Linked DNA regions of Saccharomyces cerevisiae S288C. Changing the gene in region 3 together with the main gene of any one other region gives a genetic interaction. Each region holds a gene or a part of one and is shown on either strand. Other genes may lie near its edges. The genes, in order: RDS1, PAU7, YMR155W and YPS3.

What was found.
Region 1: mutations in YMR155W (region 3) and RDS1 together harm fitness more than expected from each alone (negative genetic interaction), as found in Saccharomyces cerevisiae (one large-scale study listed by BioGRID).
Region 2: mutations in YMR155W (region 3) and PAU7 together harm fitness more than expected from each alone (negative genetic interaction), as found in Saccharomyces cerevisiae (one large-scale study listed by BioGRID).
Region 4: mutations in YMR155W (region 3) and YPS3 together harm fitness less than expected from each alone (positive genetic interaction), as found in Saccharomyces cerevisiae (one large-scale study listed by BioGRID).

Annotation. Positions count from the first base shown.
Region 1 is NC_001135.5:309,452-313,956, reverse strand, and holds RDS1 (Rds1p), read right to left. Parts: upstream 3,000-4,505; coding exon 501-2,999; downstream 1-500. Other genes in the region: AAD3 (putative aryl-alcohol dehydrogenase), read right to left, coding at 1-67; ADH7 (NADP-dependent alcohol dehydrogenase), read right to left, coding at 3,802-4,505. UniProt on the Saccharomyces cerevisiae protein: Zinc cluster transcription factor involved in resistance to cycloheximide.
Region 2 is NC_001133.9:176,349-179,095, reverse strand, and holds PAU7 (seripauperin PAU7), read left to right. Parts: upstream 1-2,072; coding exon 2,073-2,240; downstream 2,241-2,747.
Region 3 is NC_001145.3:566,533-570,694, forward strand, and holds YMR155W (uncharacterized protein), read left to right. Parts: upstream 1-2,018; coding exon 2,019-3,662; downstream 3,663-4,162. Other genes in the region: RIM13 (Rim13p), read right to left, coding at 1-1,650; TPP1 (polynucleotide 3'-phosphatase), read right to left, coding at 3,768-4,162.
Region 4 is NC_001144.5:388,234-392,324, reverse strand, and holds YPS3 (aspartyl protease), read left to right. Parts: upstream 1-2,054; coding exon 2,055-3,581; downstream 3,582-4,091. Other genes in the region: YLR122C (uncharacterized protein), read left to right, coding at 994-1,371. UniProt on the Saccharomyces cerevisiae protein: Cleaves proteins C-terminally to mono- and paired-basic residues. Required for cell wall integrity.

The DNA.
Region 1 (4,505 bases), on a different chromosome or scaffold from region 3:
CGGCAGTTTCAGAAAGAAATCGGAGGCGTCCTAACTTGCTAGATGAGTCGGACGCGGACCCAATCATTTTAAGCACGATGGATATGCTTCTTCTAGATGATCGAAAGAGTAATTGAATTTTTTCAAGTCATCATCGAAACCAGCAAAAGATTACGATATTATCCTTCTATTTACCGCAAAGTGTGTTGTTGTTATTATATGCATATTTGAGTATCGTGATCCCTTTTTTTAATCTATTTTATGCATGTAGGACATCTCGGCCGAGCGCAATAGAGGAACGGCCGAGATACTTATTTATACGCACCGCACCTATTACATTCCGCCTGCCTAACCATGCTCATTTTTTCAAATTGACGAGCAGGTTAAAAGAAACACTGCGAAATGTGAGGAATCTTTCCGTCTTGTCGAGTCTTAAAACAGTGGAAAAAACGTGGAGGATAACAGTGTTTCTTGTTTTTGGCTTGTTTTTTTTTTTTTAGCCTTTCCAAATATCCGTATTCTCACAAAGAAGGCATATCGCTCAGATTTTCACCTAATAAATCCCAGAAGGCATCAAAATTGTTGTTTTCCAATAGTTGATTTAAAGCCTCTTCTTCGCTGATATTGAAAAATTCTTCAGCCGTGTTTTGGGACATAGCGGTATTGGCTTTTATTGCGAAGGAACTGGAGAGAACTGCATCCTCCATCTGGCACAACAGAACTTGATTGAAACTCTGCAAACTCTGGCTGCTTATTAACTTTTGTTTGATTCTTCTCGAATTATTGCAGTCCAATCCCCATTTCAATCTCACGGCTTGTTGTACTTTTGGCGGTATTTCACCATCACTGGAAATCTTATCCCAAAACCCATTTGTCACAGATACTAAGCCGCCAACATCGATCAAATACACAACGTATCTAAACATGGGAACAGTTTGGTAAGCACCAAAGTAACTATCTTGAAGTTTTCCCTTTGCTAGATCCACTAAATGTGCCATTTGGTTACGAATGTGTTTAATAAGTCTTTCTAAAATGACAATCATTTCATCTTCTTTTTCATTATCGTTAGTGGATATACTGGAAGAGGCCAATTTTTTCTGACTTTCTTGCTTGTATGAAAACCTTAACAAAATACGACATTGGAACATCCAGATCCTTACAAGCATAAAACATATTTGTTTATCTATGATATAACCGCGACTCTCTAAAATGTTCCCTTGAAACTTATTCTCGAGATAATCAGATATCAACCCTGCTAGCTTTAAGTATGCATTGAAACTTTTCAAAGTAAGGAAATGATAGTTCTTTTCATATTCTTCCCAGTGCATAACACATTTTTTTTCAAAATGTAACGATAGGACATCAAAAATGTTTAAAAAACACATACTTCCCACAATATTTGTAAGAAATATTTCAGTTTTTTGAATATCCATGACATCGAGAACCGTACTTTTGCCAACTTTGATCGCATTTGGTTCCTTTTCATGAAGGGGTTGGTAAATCGAACTTGTAGGAAAGTTCTCAGCCATAAAATCTTCAGATCTTTTAATATTTCCTAAAATGTGGAAAAGCTGCGGATGTTGTATAACTGAAGTGCAATCAGACATTAGTTTACTCAAAATGACGTGAAATTTGTACTTATTCCAAACAATATCATTCATTTGCACGTTCGATTCACTCGCAGAACTTTTTTCATACTCTGAGGAAGCTTCAATATATTCTTCGAAGTCTGTTAAATATGCCTCCATATATTCACTATTTGATTTACCAGCATCACCTTCAGCAAGAGAAATTTGAAAAAGTAATGACTGAACTCCTAACCATAATATCCGTCTCTGCCTTATCACTTCTGGATCTTTGAAACGTTTGTACTTCGAAGGCTCATATTGAAGACCTAAGGTCATGGACAAATTTAAAAGATGGTGCAGAGTAAGCAAGTTAGTGGGGCTCAGTACACAATCGGGACTCTCGGGATCTAAATGCTCTGAAACGTAGAAATATAAAAGGCAAGTAAAAGTGTTCTCATTTGGATAGCGAAATACATCCAGGAGGCATAATAGTTTATGACATAAAAGAGAAAGTTTCCTGGCACTTTCGGAGGCATTTTCTTTTACCATTGAAAGAAGATTTGCATCCAATTTTGAATGCATCAAGGCCATGGCCATTACTATTGTAAGTAATGACAAAGTTTCTATTTTTTTGCGCACATTTTTAACTTCAGTACTAATTTTCCAACGATTATTGTCGTCTTGTAAAAGCAAACTAGTGAGATCGCTCTCAAAGAGTGAAATGTCCATAAAAGGATAGAAGGGATAAATATTTTGATAGAAACACCTCAAAAGTATTTCACAGTCTTTTTTTTGCATCAACACGTCTTCCACTTCAGCGATGAGTGACGGTAGAAGAGTCGAGAAGTTTTCTTCTTCCATTGAAAATGCATTGTATAATAACCCTAAGGCGGCAGACTGAACTCGAAATTGCTTACTATGTTCTATCCGTCTAAAAATGGCCTTTTCTATGAATGACAATGGTCCTAGTATACTTCTTGATGTGTCTTCACAAGGAATACCATTAGCATAATTGCTAAAGTCAACAAGCGCCATGCCGTACAACGAAGCACAAAGTGCCCTGATATACTGGTCATGTTGCGCCAGACTATGCGCAGCAAAAGGATAATCCAGAAATGTAACTAATCCTACTATAACTAGCATATCTTCGGCGTTCCATATCGACAGCGTAGCATTAACGACACCTTCAGGCACTTGTAAGGAATATCTAAGCCCAGTCCTTTCAAGTACAGGTTGCTGTTCGAAATTGAGCTTATGAGAGGAATTGAATCCATCAGAGTCGTTTGCTGCAACATTGGCAGATAAATCTGTTCTCTCTTCATATTCACACTGTAATGAATTTTGTTGGCATCGCGAGCAAGCAGGCCGCAGTTTATCACATTTCCGTTTGATCTTTTTGCATTGCAGGCAAACCAATCTTAACCGAGGTTTTTTTACTGTAATCGAATCCATCAGAGCATTTCAGCAGCCAATTTCATGTTCATTTGTTTATCTACCGCTTACATTAATAAAGTATTAATGAGTAACATTATTAGTAATGATGTCAAAATTTCGTTCTCAATGACTTGTAATAATGAGTGTAATAGTGATCTGCACGGGTCTTGAGTAGAAAATCTACCGAATGCAAAAATGTGAAGAATACACGCTACTATGTAAATCTTTATTTTTCAACTCATTTCAAACCATTGAACCATCCTCTTAGATAGCACAGTATATTAATATAGGCATTCTTTGTAAAAATTTGCGCTCTTCTCTTTTAAAATTGAAGTGCTTTAAGAGGACCTCATCAGACATGCTCGGACTCTAGATTTCGAAGTAAAAGCATGATTAACACTCTACCTTTCGGACGAAAATTGCATTAATGTACCTACTTAATGGGTATTCAGTTTTCAGATTTAATAGTTTGGCTTCGATACATATGAGTAGGCTAAGTATTAAGTTAAATCGCAGAACAAATGTAGACGTACTCGACATGAATGGGTAAAACCCTGCACACATTTCGTATTGAATAAAACTTACTGCTCTGCACTGTTGTCGAGAGATTCTAAATTTTCATCAAAATTTCCCTTAAGTTTAAGAAATATCCTATTCAAGAAATGAATGTCCCTATATATAGGTCATGTGACTACCGAAGAATTGGTTTAAGGTATACATACAATGCAAACCACTTTTCTCTTGTTATGTAATGGGTCATGATAAATTCCGAGATTTGACATGCATTTTAAGAGATTCTGAAAAATATTACGTATATAGACTATTTATGGAATTTCTTATCATAATCGACCAAAGTAAATCTGTATTTGACGTCTCCGCTTTCCATCCTTGTAAAGGCATGGCTGACGCCTTCTTCGCTGATCGGAAGTTTTTCCACCCATATTTTGACATTCTTTTCGGAAACTAATTTCAATAGTTGTTCGATTTCCTTCCTAGATCCGATAGCACTGCTTGAGATTGATACTCCCATTAGGCCCAACGGTTTTAAAACAAGCTTTTCATTAACTTCAGGAGCAGCAATTGAAACGATGGAGCCTCCAATCTTCATAATCTTAACGATACTGTCAAAATTAACTTTCGACAAAGATGATGAGCAAACGACAAGAAGGTCCAAAGCGTTAGAGTATTGTTCTGTCCAGCCTTTATCCTCCAACATAGCAATATAGTGATCAGCACCGAGTTTCATAGAATCCTCCCGCTTGGAGTGGCCTCGCGAAAACGCATAAACCTCGGCTCCCATAGCTTTAGCCAACAGAATCCCCATATGCCCAATACCACCGATGCCAACAATACCTACCCTCTTACCTGGACCACAGCCATTTCTTAGTAGTGGAGAGAAAACTGTAATACCACCACACAATAATGGAGCGGCTAGCGGACTTGGAATATTTTCTGGTATTTGAATAGCAAAGTGTTCATGAAGCCTCACGTGGGAGGCAAAGCCTCCTTGTGAAATGTAGCCGT
Region 2 (2,747 bases), on a different chromosome or scaffold from region 3:
AGTGGGGAAATAGTTTACGAGTTTTGTTCAAGTTAAAAGCATTTTTTGTTGTGAAGAGAATAAACTTGATTTCGAAGGAGATCAAATTCGAAATAATCTGCGAATTTATTATGATCGACTAGGCAACGAAGACGCAGTTTTCTATTAAATCTGTGCGTTTGAGTAACTTAACTGACTATAATATCGCAATCTTAACATCATTAAACAATGTAAAAGAGGTCATACGCTATAAGAAGTTGATTTGATCCCCCGTGGATTTTGAAAAATGTCAAGATCAGCATATTGACCCATGTTTTTCCGCTCAATCCAGTCTATCAATCATTTTTCAACAAGGATAACCATAACATTCACCCACCATGCTTTGGTTCATAAGATATACGGGGAGATCAGCAACTCTTCAACTTATTGAACATGTTGAGAGCAGGATTAAATAATCAATGTCCTGTGATTGCAACATCTATCATGCCTGACGTTTCTCGAACGATACAATCTACAATTTAATGAGCCATTTTAGCATATTAACGAGGGCTGCATGAGGATCGAATGGACAAAAGTGTTTTCAGGCATGGGAGAATGGGATGCTTATAGAGGAGTTTAACCATGAAATTAAATGATTCTCCAGCAAGAAAAAAAAAACTCCTGACTCAGTTCATGTGGCGGGAAATTTCTCTCATTGTCTCCCCCTGCAGCGCTACTAATCTTAAAGGTAGTGGTGGCTTCGACATTATATCGTTGGTTCAGGTTGTCCGATCACTAATGATCTGTTACTTTATTGCTATGTTATGTGTCAAAAGGTGATATCCCCATTTTTACTGATCGCAGTAATATTTTAACCTGCCATGGTTAAATTGTTTATTGTCATTGAGTTGAGCACTTTTTCATTGCACTGTAGTTGTTGCGTATTTCAGACTTACTCTTATAGTGACGCTAACAGGAGGTCTGGCTCTTAATACAAGGACGTCGTAATATTCTGTTCACCGGACTCGAAAGCAAGAAGGAAAAAAGCACATTGTAGCCTTTTCAAAAACCTATCTTTTGGTACTAATTTATGGCGGCCCATACAGAGAGCTACCCTAAGAAATAGTTCGCATTCGTATATGAACTTCGGCTTTGAATATTGCGGATTCGTGCACAATACAAGACTTCTGTCGTTCCATGTCATCTATTGCGCGATTATTTTTTCACCAATTCCTTTCATTTCTAGTGGTTTCAAGGCGCAAGATTAATCTTAGATTTTACCTCCATCAAAAGCTCGGTAATTGGCACGTCATTTTACTATATGGCCTCAACAACATCGCTATACAGATTTGGGCGCCCTACTTAGCGAGACTTCCTACATTTGGAAATTACCCTAAAGGCATATTCTCTTCATGTAATAGCTCGCACAATGTAACCCGATTCAATTGATGCCCCAGTCGTCATTTATGTACAAGCATATCTACGCTGGCTCTGAGACTTGTGTTGTCCAAACAAGAACCCCCATCATATCTAGCGTGAGTATCAAATGGTTGGCAATAGTTTGTGTGGTCTGATTATTTACGTACAGCTCCCCTTTTTGTGTGCATATTCCTGCAGATGCGACTCTAAGAGCTCACACTTAATTTTTCATTGTTTCTAATTTGGGAAAAGTCCGATTTCCCTCCTACTAACCGTTTAGTGCCAAGGGTGAGATGGCCCTTGAACGAGGGCCCAAAATAAATTTGGCTTTGGTTCTATTTCTTGGCCAAAACTGCAGCTGCAGCCCTATAGGCACTTTTCCTGTAGAGAACATTCTTGTGCTATGGAACATATGAAAGGATGGGGCATAAAAAAACGGCTTCCTATACGAAGTATAGCATCGTTCAAGAACAACCCGTCCCCATAGTAATAATGACTTAGTCGCTAAGTGGAATGTGGAAGGCATGAGTGTGAGATGGGCGACCAGTAAGAGCCCATGTGTGCAGATGTAGTTGTTCAAAGTTTCATATAAATACAGCGGCTTGATCAGCTTTGTTTGAGACATTTCTCTGTTCTTTTCCTTCCAGTTAAGCCTATATCATCACTAAGCAATAACCCAAAAAACAACAAATACAATGGTCAAATTAACTTCAATCGCTGCCGGTGTCGCCGCCATTGCTGCTGGTGCCTCCGCCGCAGCAACCACTACATTATCTCAATCTGACGAAAGAGTTAATTTGGTTGAATTAGGTGTTTATGTTTCCGATATCAGAGCTCATTTGGCTGAATACTACTCTTTCTAAGCTGCTCACCCAACTGAAACTTATCCAGTTGAAATTGCAGAAGCTGTTTTCAACTACGGTGATTTCACCACCATGTTGACTGGTATTCCCGCCGACCAAGTTACCAGAGTTATCACTGGTGTTCCATGGTACTCCAGCAGATTAAAGCCAGCTATCTCTAGTGCTCTATCCGTAGACGGTATCTACACTATCGCAAACTAGAGTCCCTGCTTTACGAATGAAACCTGTACAGGTATGAGAGGTTACGAAAAAAAATGATAAATGAAAAAAAAAAAGCTTAATAATATGAAATTAATAGTATGAATAGTTAGGCGCATGTATATAAATATAAATTTTTGTATATATGTATTATTAATATTATAAATTTCTTATTATTAAACCATCCTTTACGGAAATAACGGCCTATTCCCTTAGTATTTTGTTGTAGCTCGTGGAGTTATCCATTTTAAATGGATCTTGGGATAATTTTTACTGCTTCCCTCGTACTGGGAGCTTAATACACGTTCG
Region 3 (4,162 bases):
CATATATTTGACATTAGTTAAGATGGGCACGTCTTGTTTAAGGCCCTGCCCGGGCTGATAGTGGTTATCAAACATTATTGGCTTTATCAATTCATAGTCATTAAAGTAATATACTTGGATGTTAATTAAATCATGTGAGCTAGTTGAGATACATGCGGCGTCCATAAGTACTTGATAATCTTGTTCAGAGTGAACTTCCAACTCAAAAGTCGGATTTTGAAAAAAATTACAAGTATCAAATGAGGCTTTTCCCTCTATTTCATAAGGAAAAGAGAAAAGGACTTTGGCAAAAAGACTTTTTGTATCTTTCAATCTTTGAAAACATATTTCCTTCACAACTGAGAAAGAGTGAATACTGAAATTGTTGTTTGTTGTTGAATAACAATACAATAACCTCTCAGTCTCAGCATCTAATCTCAACTTTACCAGCTGAAGTCCAATGTGATTGCCACCGCATTCTACTGGAGGTTCAATTGGACAAATTATGCATTCGGGAGCCTCATTCAAAAAGGAAACTGACCGATTTTCTTGGCTGCCTTCATCTTGCAAATGGGATTCTAGCAATAACCATACCGTCTCTGTCACTTTAGAATTGTTTACCAGGTGAAATAAAGGTTTATCTGCAACGATAGAAAATTTATTGTAGCGTGAAGTATCGTACCGAAAATGAAGTACCTGAGAACGTTTGAATAATTTTTCTTGGTTCCAATTAAGATAAAGTTGTTTGAAATTTTTTAAATACTGTTCATAGCTGATTTCAACATTTAGTGCCGAGTTCCTCGGATCTCGCAATTTTACTAGCCTAGAATCATATGTGATATCAATTATAGAGTAATCATGGTTCTCAACTAGGGGCTTTATCATGTCATTGGAACGATTCCCGGTGCCAGCGCCCATCAGACATAAATTAGATTTGTGAAACTTCCATAATTTTTCGAAAGGATAGCTGTTTACTTGTGTTATCTCTGGTAAGAAGCCACTTAAGCGGTAAGTATCTATACTAATATTTGAGCCATCCGTGGAATATGTTCCTTTAGAAACAAGCAGTAATGCAAGCTCTCCAATTTTGTCCGAAATATCGTTACTCTTTAAAGAAAGTTGTTTGCCATCCACTGAGGTTGGGATCTGCGAAATATCTACTGTCACTAGCCTTTTGTTGCTTCCGTTAAAACTTAAATTGACGTGATATTTAGTTGATGATATTTGTTTAATTAGAGGGAGATTCAAGTTCTTAGACCTAAGATTAATTAGAGAAGCAACTAATGAGCAATCTGGCACATCTCGGCATTGTTCTATTCCGCCTGAATAGTCTTCTTCATTCTGTAACTTGGCTCTCCCTGGATAACGCCTTTGTAGTTCTTCAGTACCAGGTGCGCAATATTCGGTTTTATTCCAAGAAACCGGTGAGGCTTCTGAGATAGGTATAGGGGGATAAAACCTTGAATTAATAGTTGAAGTAAGCCATAAAAATCTTAATTGTTTATCTACTTTCGACACATTTTCTTTCAAAACTAAAACGGCCTCAATAAAAGTGGAATCTTCGCTTTTCATTGCCAAGCCAACCAATCTATTAATTATACTGCTTGAGTCACCTTCTGCATTACAATATATTGACTTTATCGCGGCATTGAACTCATGCCAATCATTCATTTTTGATACCACAAGGTTCTTGTCTTCGACTGAAATGGTCGAGTAACCGTTTAATAAGTTGTCTAGAGTTGATTATTGTGGTCCGTTTATGCCGACTAAAAGAACATTTAACTGTAGTATCATAAAATCAAAAAGGGATAAATATCCGCAAGAATACAAGAAAGAAGAAGTATATATGTTTTCTTTAAAATTTCAGAGCATAACTTGAGCCATGAAAAACCACTTCTCCTCAAGTTTATGTTGTTCCTCTATTTCCTACAGAAATATATTTACATTTGGTCGATATCGAAGATCTGGAGATAAGGTAAATAAATCCTGCGCGGTTCAAAGATACTCGATAAACAGCAACCAATGTTTCACAGAGTGCCATGGTAAAGAAACACCAAAATAGTAAAATGGGTAATACAAATCACTTTGGACATCTCAAAAGTTTTGTGGGAGGTAACGTGGTTGCCCTTGGTGCTGGAACACCTTATCTTTTCTCATTTTATGCTCCTCAGCTACTGAGCAAGTGCCACATACCTGTTTCTGCCTCAAGTAAGCTATCCTTCTCTTTAACAATAGGAAGCTCACTGATGGGAATTTTAGCAGGAATAGTTGTCGATCGAAGTCCTAAACTGTCCTGTCTAATTGGTTCAATGTGTGTTTTCATCGCGTATTTGATTTTGAATTTATGCTATAAGCACGAATGGTCTAGTACTTTTCTCATATCGTTAAGTTTGGTACTCATTGGATATGGTTCTGTCTCAGGTTTTTACGCTTCTGTGAAATGTGCAAATACAAATTTTCCTCAACACAGGGGTACAGCTGGGGCATTTCCTGTGTCCCTATACGGTTTATCGGGCATGGTGTTCTCATATCTTTGCTCAAAGCTTTTTGGTGAGAACATCGAGCATGTCTTCATTTTCTTGATGGTTGCGTGTGGTTGCATGATTTTAGTAGGCTATTTCTCATTAGATATATTCTCTAATGCAGAAGGAGATGATGCTAGCATTAAGGAATGGGAGCTTCAAAAAAGCAGGGAAACAGACGATAATATAGTACCGTTATATGAGAACAGTAATGACTATATAGGTTCACCTGTGCGTTCATCATCCCCTGCTACCTATGAAACTTATGCATTGTCAGACAATTTTCAGGAAACGTCAGAATTTTTTGCACTTGAGGATAGACAGTTATCAAATCGACCATTGTTATCACCTTCTTCCCCACACACAAAGTATGATTTCGAGGATGAGAATACCAGCAAAAATACAGTGGGCGAGAATAGCGCACAGAAAAGTATGAGATTACATGTATTCCAAAGCTTAAAATCTTCAACATTTATTGGTTACTACATAGTATTGGGTATACTACAAGGCGTGGGTTTAATGTACATATATTCTGTGGGGTTTATGGTACAAGCCCAGGTTTCTACTCCACCCTTAAATCAATTACCAATTAATGCAGAAAAAATTCAATCATTACAAGTAACTCTCCTGTCTCTTCTTTCATTTTGCGGCAGATTATCATCTGGGCCTATATCAGATTTTTTGGTCAAGAAATTCAAAGCTCAAAGACTATGGAATATTGTCATAGCATCGCTTTTGGTATTTCTTGCATCGAATAAAATATCCCATGACTTCAGCAGCATTGAAGATCCTTCTTTAAGAGCCTCCAAATCATTCAAGAATATTTCGGTATGCTCAGCGATCTTCGGTTATTCTTTTGGCGTTCTATTTGGTACTTTCCCCTCCATAGTAGCAGATAGATTTGGCACAAATGGGTATAGTACGCTGTGGGGTGTTTTAACGACTGGTGGTGTATTTTCAGTGAGTGTTTTTACCGATATATTAGGTAGAGATTTCAAGGCAAATACAGGAGATGATGATGGGAACTGTAAAAAGGGAGTGCTTTGCTACAGCTATACTTTTATGGTTACGAAATATTGTGCCGCTTTTAATCTTTTGTTCGTTTTGGGGATAATTGGATATACGTACTATCGAAGAAGAGCAACTGCAAATTCCCTGTAGACGGTGTCATCCTGACATTGCTTTCATATTCTTTTTCACCATCACAAATGAACATTTTAAGAAATATTACTATATACTGGTATATATTCAACATTTTACAACGGACTACCCGTGAAATATTTCCTCAGGGTACTTGAATTCAACGTGCAAGTTTTCAGCAAACTTTATGTCAGAATCACTGAAGTCCTTTTTCCTCCCAGCAGCGTCACCGCAATAATATATCCAATTCAACTTGATGGGAGAAATTTGTTCTGAAACCCTGTATGCACTTTCCAGGTCCCTTTTAAAAAACTCTACCATTCCTGTCATTGGTTTTCGAACTTTTTCGAATATGTTAGGATCATTGTTATAACTTTCACCTAAGCTTGCGAATGTGATCTTACTATGATTTGCTGCAAAAGTTTTCGGCCTTTTAGGTGCTGCATATAGCCATAACCTGTGTGATAACGTTTCTCCTCTCTCATCGTTTTTGATTGCCTTTAAAAATAGCAAAATTTTAT
Region 4 (4,091 bases), on a different chromosome or scaffold from region 3:
ATCAAGAGACAAAGCTGCTGTGGTGGTGTTTTGTTAAACGTGTCTGTGAATGACTTCTTTCCGCTTGCGCACATTTTTCTACTGGCTCTCCTCACTAAATGTTAAGATTTCTGATATATGTGGACCACATTTCACCATTGTTGAAATGGACGGTATGATATGATTCGAATAAGACCTGGAATATGCACTCTAGCATACCAGGAGCTCTGGACATTGTATTCTTCTCATCTATTGTAAAACATCTCTCAATAGTAACGTATGAGTAATGATTCGGAATGGCATCTAGATTAGCAAATACTTGCTTGCTTGTTGAGGATAACCGTAAACTCGTCTGTTCTTAGTGCAAAAACCGTCCCAAAAGTAACAGACGGTAACTCATTCTACATTAACATTGGATGATATGTTGACAATAAATTCCGAGGGACAGCTCCGTTTCCTAGTGAATCTCGGTGGTTGTAATGAGGGTAAATCGCTGAGCATTTTTTTTTCTTCTCTTTACTACACCATTTAGAGTTCTCACTTTGTAAAATTCCGTCCTGATATGAGAATATATATCTCCACGAAGCAATACCAAGCACAAGAAAAACATAGCAATTTTTGCAAGGCCCGGTAACGCAAGATGTGATAACACGCTGCATCATTTTAATTAAGAGCGCGCCACTTCTCCAGATAGTGCTGTATTCATATATGTAAGTGCTCACACTTTCTGGGAACAGCGGAGTCATTAGAAGACTGGCTTCGCTGAAGTTGCTAGAACGAGCAAATTACAACATTATATTCAGCTTCAAGAAAAAACGCAGACAATGGACTCAGGATGATGAGAGGTTCCTTTGTACCACTAAGATCGACTCGTCCTAACCCTATATCCCAATCCCAAGACTAGGCGAACCAACATTAACTGGGCTCGTAATAGGGCAATGATAATGCAAAAGCGGCTCCTAAACAGAAATTCTTCAGTAGTCAAATCTCGAAATTGCCTTGCTCGTCATCAACATGAATCGTCTATATCAAAACTGCATGTTTCTCTACGTCTACACAGATGTTTGCGTCCGATTGTGCGCTTCGATTTTTTACATAATGCTGGAAGCAAAGTTTGCTCTCAGAATTCCTGCCCTTCGCCCCAGTTACACGTGGGGACAATGGCGCTCTTTCATACAGTCTTCATTCTATGGCCGCACTTTTGTGGCATTCTCTGGACCGTCCATGAAAAATTATATAACTATTTGCTTTCTATTGAAGTCTATTGAAGTTAGCGTGGATAGAACGGCGTTACATGGCACATCAGCTGAAGCTAGCGCAAGTAATTTTCAACGCATTCAAACGAAAAACTTATCTAAATACAATTGTAACATACCGGCTTGCTGTGTGTGAACCCCTTTCCCCAATTGTATATCAGAAACGTCTGAGTGGAGGGTGAGGAATCACTCACTACCTTTTCTCCATTCGACGCCTATAAGCAGCGTATTTTAAAGGAAAGGGGAATTAGTGCGGAGATGGGCCAGAAATGTACTCTTTTTTTGGCAGAGTTTTTCCGGGCGGGACAAAACAATGGCGTGGGGTGATGAAATAAGCAAAATTCAATATCCCTTATGACGGAATGGCAGAATTGGCCACCATTTTGTCTTGGCATTCAATATACATACAAATCTTCACTACCGCGATATTGTTGGTAATGGAGATTGCTTTTTGGCCTCCTGGCTTATAGGGCTCTGAGTCTCGTGGTAGTGGAATCCGGCACAGAAACGAGAATCGGATATTTGGGGCCGGGCCATGTACAGGCAAAAGAAATAGCGAAAATATCTCTTATTTTTTTCGCGCTTCCTTTGTAGTAGAAATTATTGGCGATCGGATTACTATTCGCGGAAAAGAAATTAAAAATAGCGAAGAACTTAGAACTATAAGCCTCAAAAGGAAACTTGTGTGGTCGAAGGCTGGACGCCATAATAATATATATATGTACGTATATATATTATATATGAATATCTGTAGCCGCTAACTTGTGTGTTTGTGAATTTATATAGGATAAATAGAGCAAAATTACTCGGCATTGAAAAATGAAACTTCAATTGGCGGCAGTGGCTACATTAGCAGTCTTAACTAGTCCGGCATTCGGTAGAGTACTTCCCGATGGGAAATACGTCAAGATTCCCTTCACAAAAAAAAAGAACGGCGACAATGGTGAACTCAGCAAGAGATCGAACGGCCATGAAAAATTTGTACTAGCTAACGAGCAAAGCTTTTATTCTGTTGAGCTAGCCATTGGTACACCTTCACAAAACCTCACTGTGCTGTTAGACACAGGCTCAGCTGACTTATGGGTTCCTGGCAAGGGAAACCCCTACTGCGGTTCTGTGATGGACTGTGACCAGTATGGCGTGTTCGACAAGACCAAGTCGTCCACGTTCAAAGCCAACAAGTCCTCGCCTTTTTATGCCGCTTACGGTGACGGAACCTATGCAGAAGGTGCATTTGGTCAAGATAAATTAAAGTACAACGAATTAGACCTCAGTGGTCTATCGTTTGCCGTGGCCAACGAATCTAACTCAACCTTTGGTGTGCTCGGGATCGGCCTTTCCACGCTTGAAGTCACCTATTCTGGAAAAGTCGCTATTATGGACAAGAGAAGCTACGAGTATGATAACTTTCCCCTGTTCCTAAAACATTCTGGAGCCATCGATGCAACCGCATACTCTCTTTTCCTAAATGACGAGTCACAGTCCTCCGGCAGCATCCTCTTCGGCGCTGTAGATCACAGCAAGTACGAGGGCCAACTGTACACTATCCCGTTGGTTAATCTTTATAAGTCGCAGGGTTATCAGCACCCGGTGGCGTTCGATGTCACTTTACAGGGCTTAGGACTGCAAACCGACAAGCGCAACATCACATTGACCACCACCAAGCTCCCAGCCCTACTCGATTCAGGCACAACGCTAACATATCTGCCCTCCCAGGCAGTGGCTTTGCTAGCAAAGAGCTTGAATGCCTCGTATTCCAAGACATTGGGTTATTATGAGTACACGTGTCCCTCGAGCGACAACAAAACCAGCGTGGCCTTCGACTTCGGTGGCTTCCGTATCAACGCTCCTCTATCCGACTTTACTATGCAGACCAGTGTGGGGACCTGTGTCTTGGCAATAATTCCACAAGCGGGCAACGCCACCGCTATCCTTGGTGATTCCTTCTTGAGAAACGCCTACGTGGTCTACGATTTGGATAACTACGAGATTTCCCTAGCTCAAGCCAAGTATGGCACGGGGAAAGAGAACGTCGAAGTCATCAAATCTACCGTTCCCAGTGCAATAAGGGCCCCCAGTTACAACAACACTTGGTCTAACTACGCCTCCGCCACGTCCGGTGGTAATATTTTTACCACCGTGCGCACTTTCAATGGCACCAGTACTGCCACCACTACGAGGTCAACCACCACCAAGAAGACAAACTCTACCACTACTGCAAAGTCGACTCATAAAAGCAAGAGGGCACTCCAGAGGGCTGCTACCAACTCCGCTTCCAGTATACGCTCTACCTTGGGTTTACTGCTAGTCCCCTCCTTACTCATCCTTTCCGTTTTCTTTTCGTAAAAAAAAACAATAGACACTATATATAGACACTTTTTCCTTTCCTTCTTTGCGCGATTTCAAGAGGAAAAGCATACTTAAATAAGAATATTCCTAAAACACACGTTCTGACGCGTCAATTAGATCGTCAGACCTTGCATGCAGCCAAGACACCCTCACATAGCACTGCCTCCTTCCTCCTCTTTTCTGTCACCACCTCACCTCCCTCGTCCACTCAACTGAGTGGCTTTTCGCTCCTTTTATACTGCGCCATGAGTAGTTTTCGTTTCACTGATGTGTCCGAAAAAATTGAGGTTTCATAAAAAAATTCGTGGACTTATTTATGGAGAAACAGGGAAATCCGACTACTTAAGAAAAGGGTGTCAAAGAGGATTTACTTTTTTCCTTCTTTTTGCATTTGTTCCTATTTCCGCAATTGGACGGTTATTAAGAAGAACGCAATTGGCTTTTCTGTATATTAAAATACATAGCGTAATAAAAAGATAAGGTGAACACCAAGCATATAGTATAATA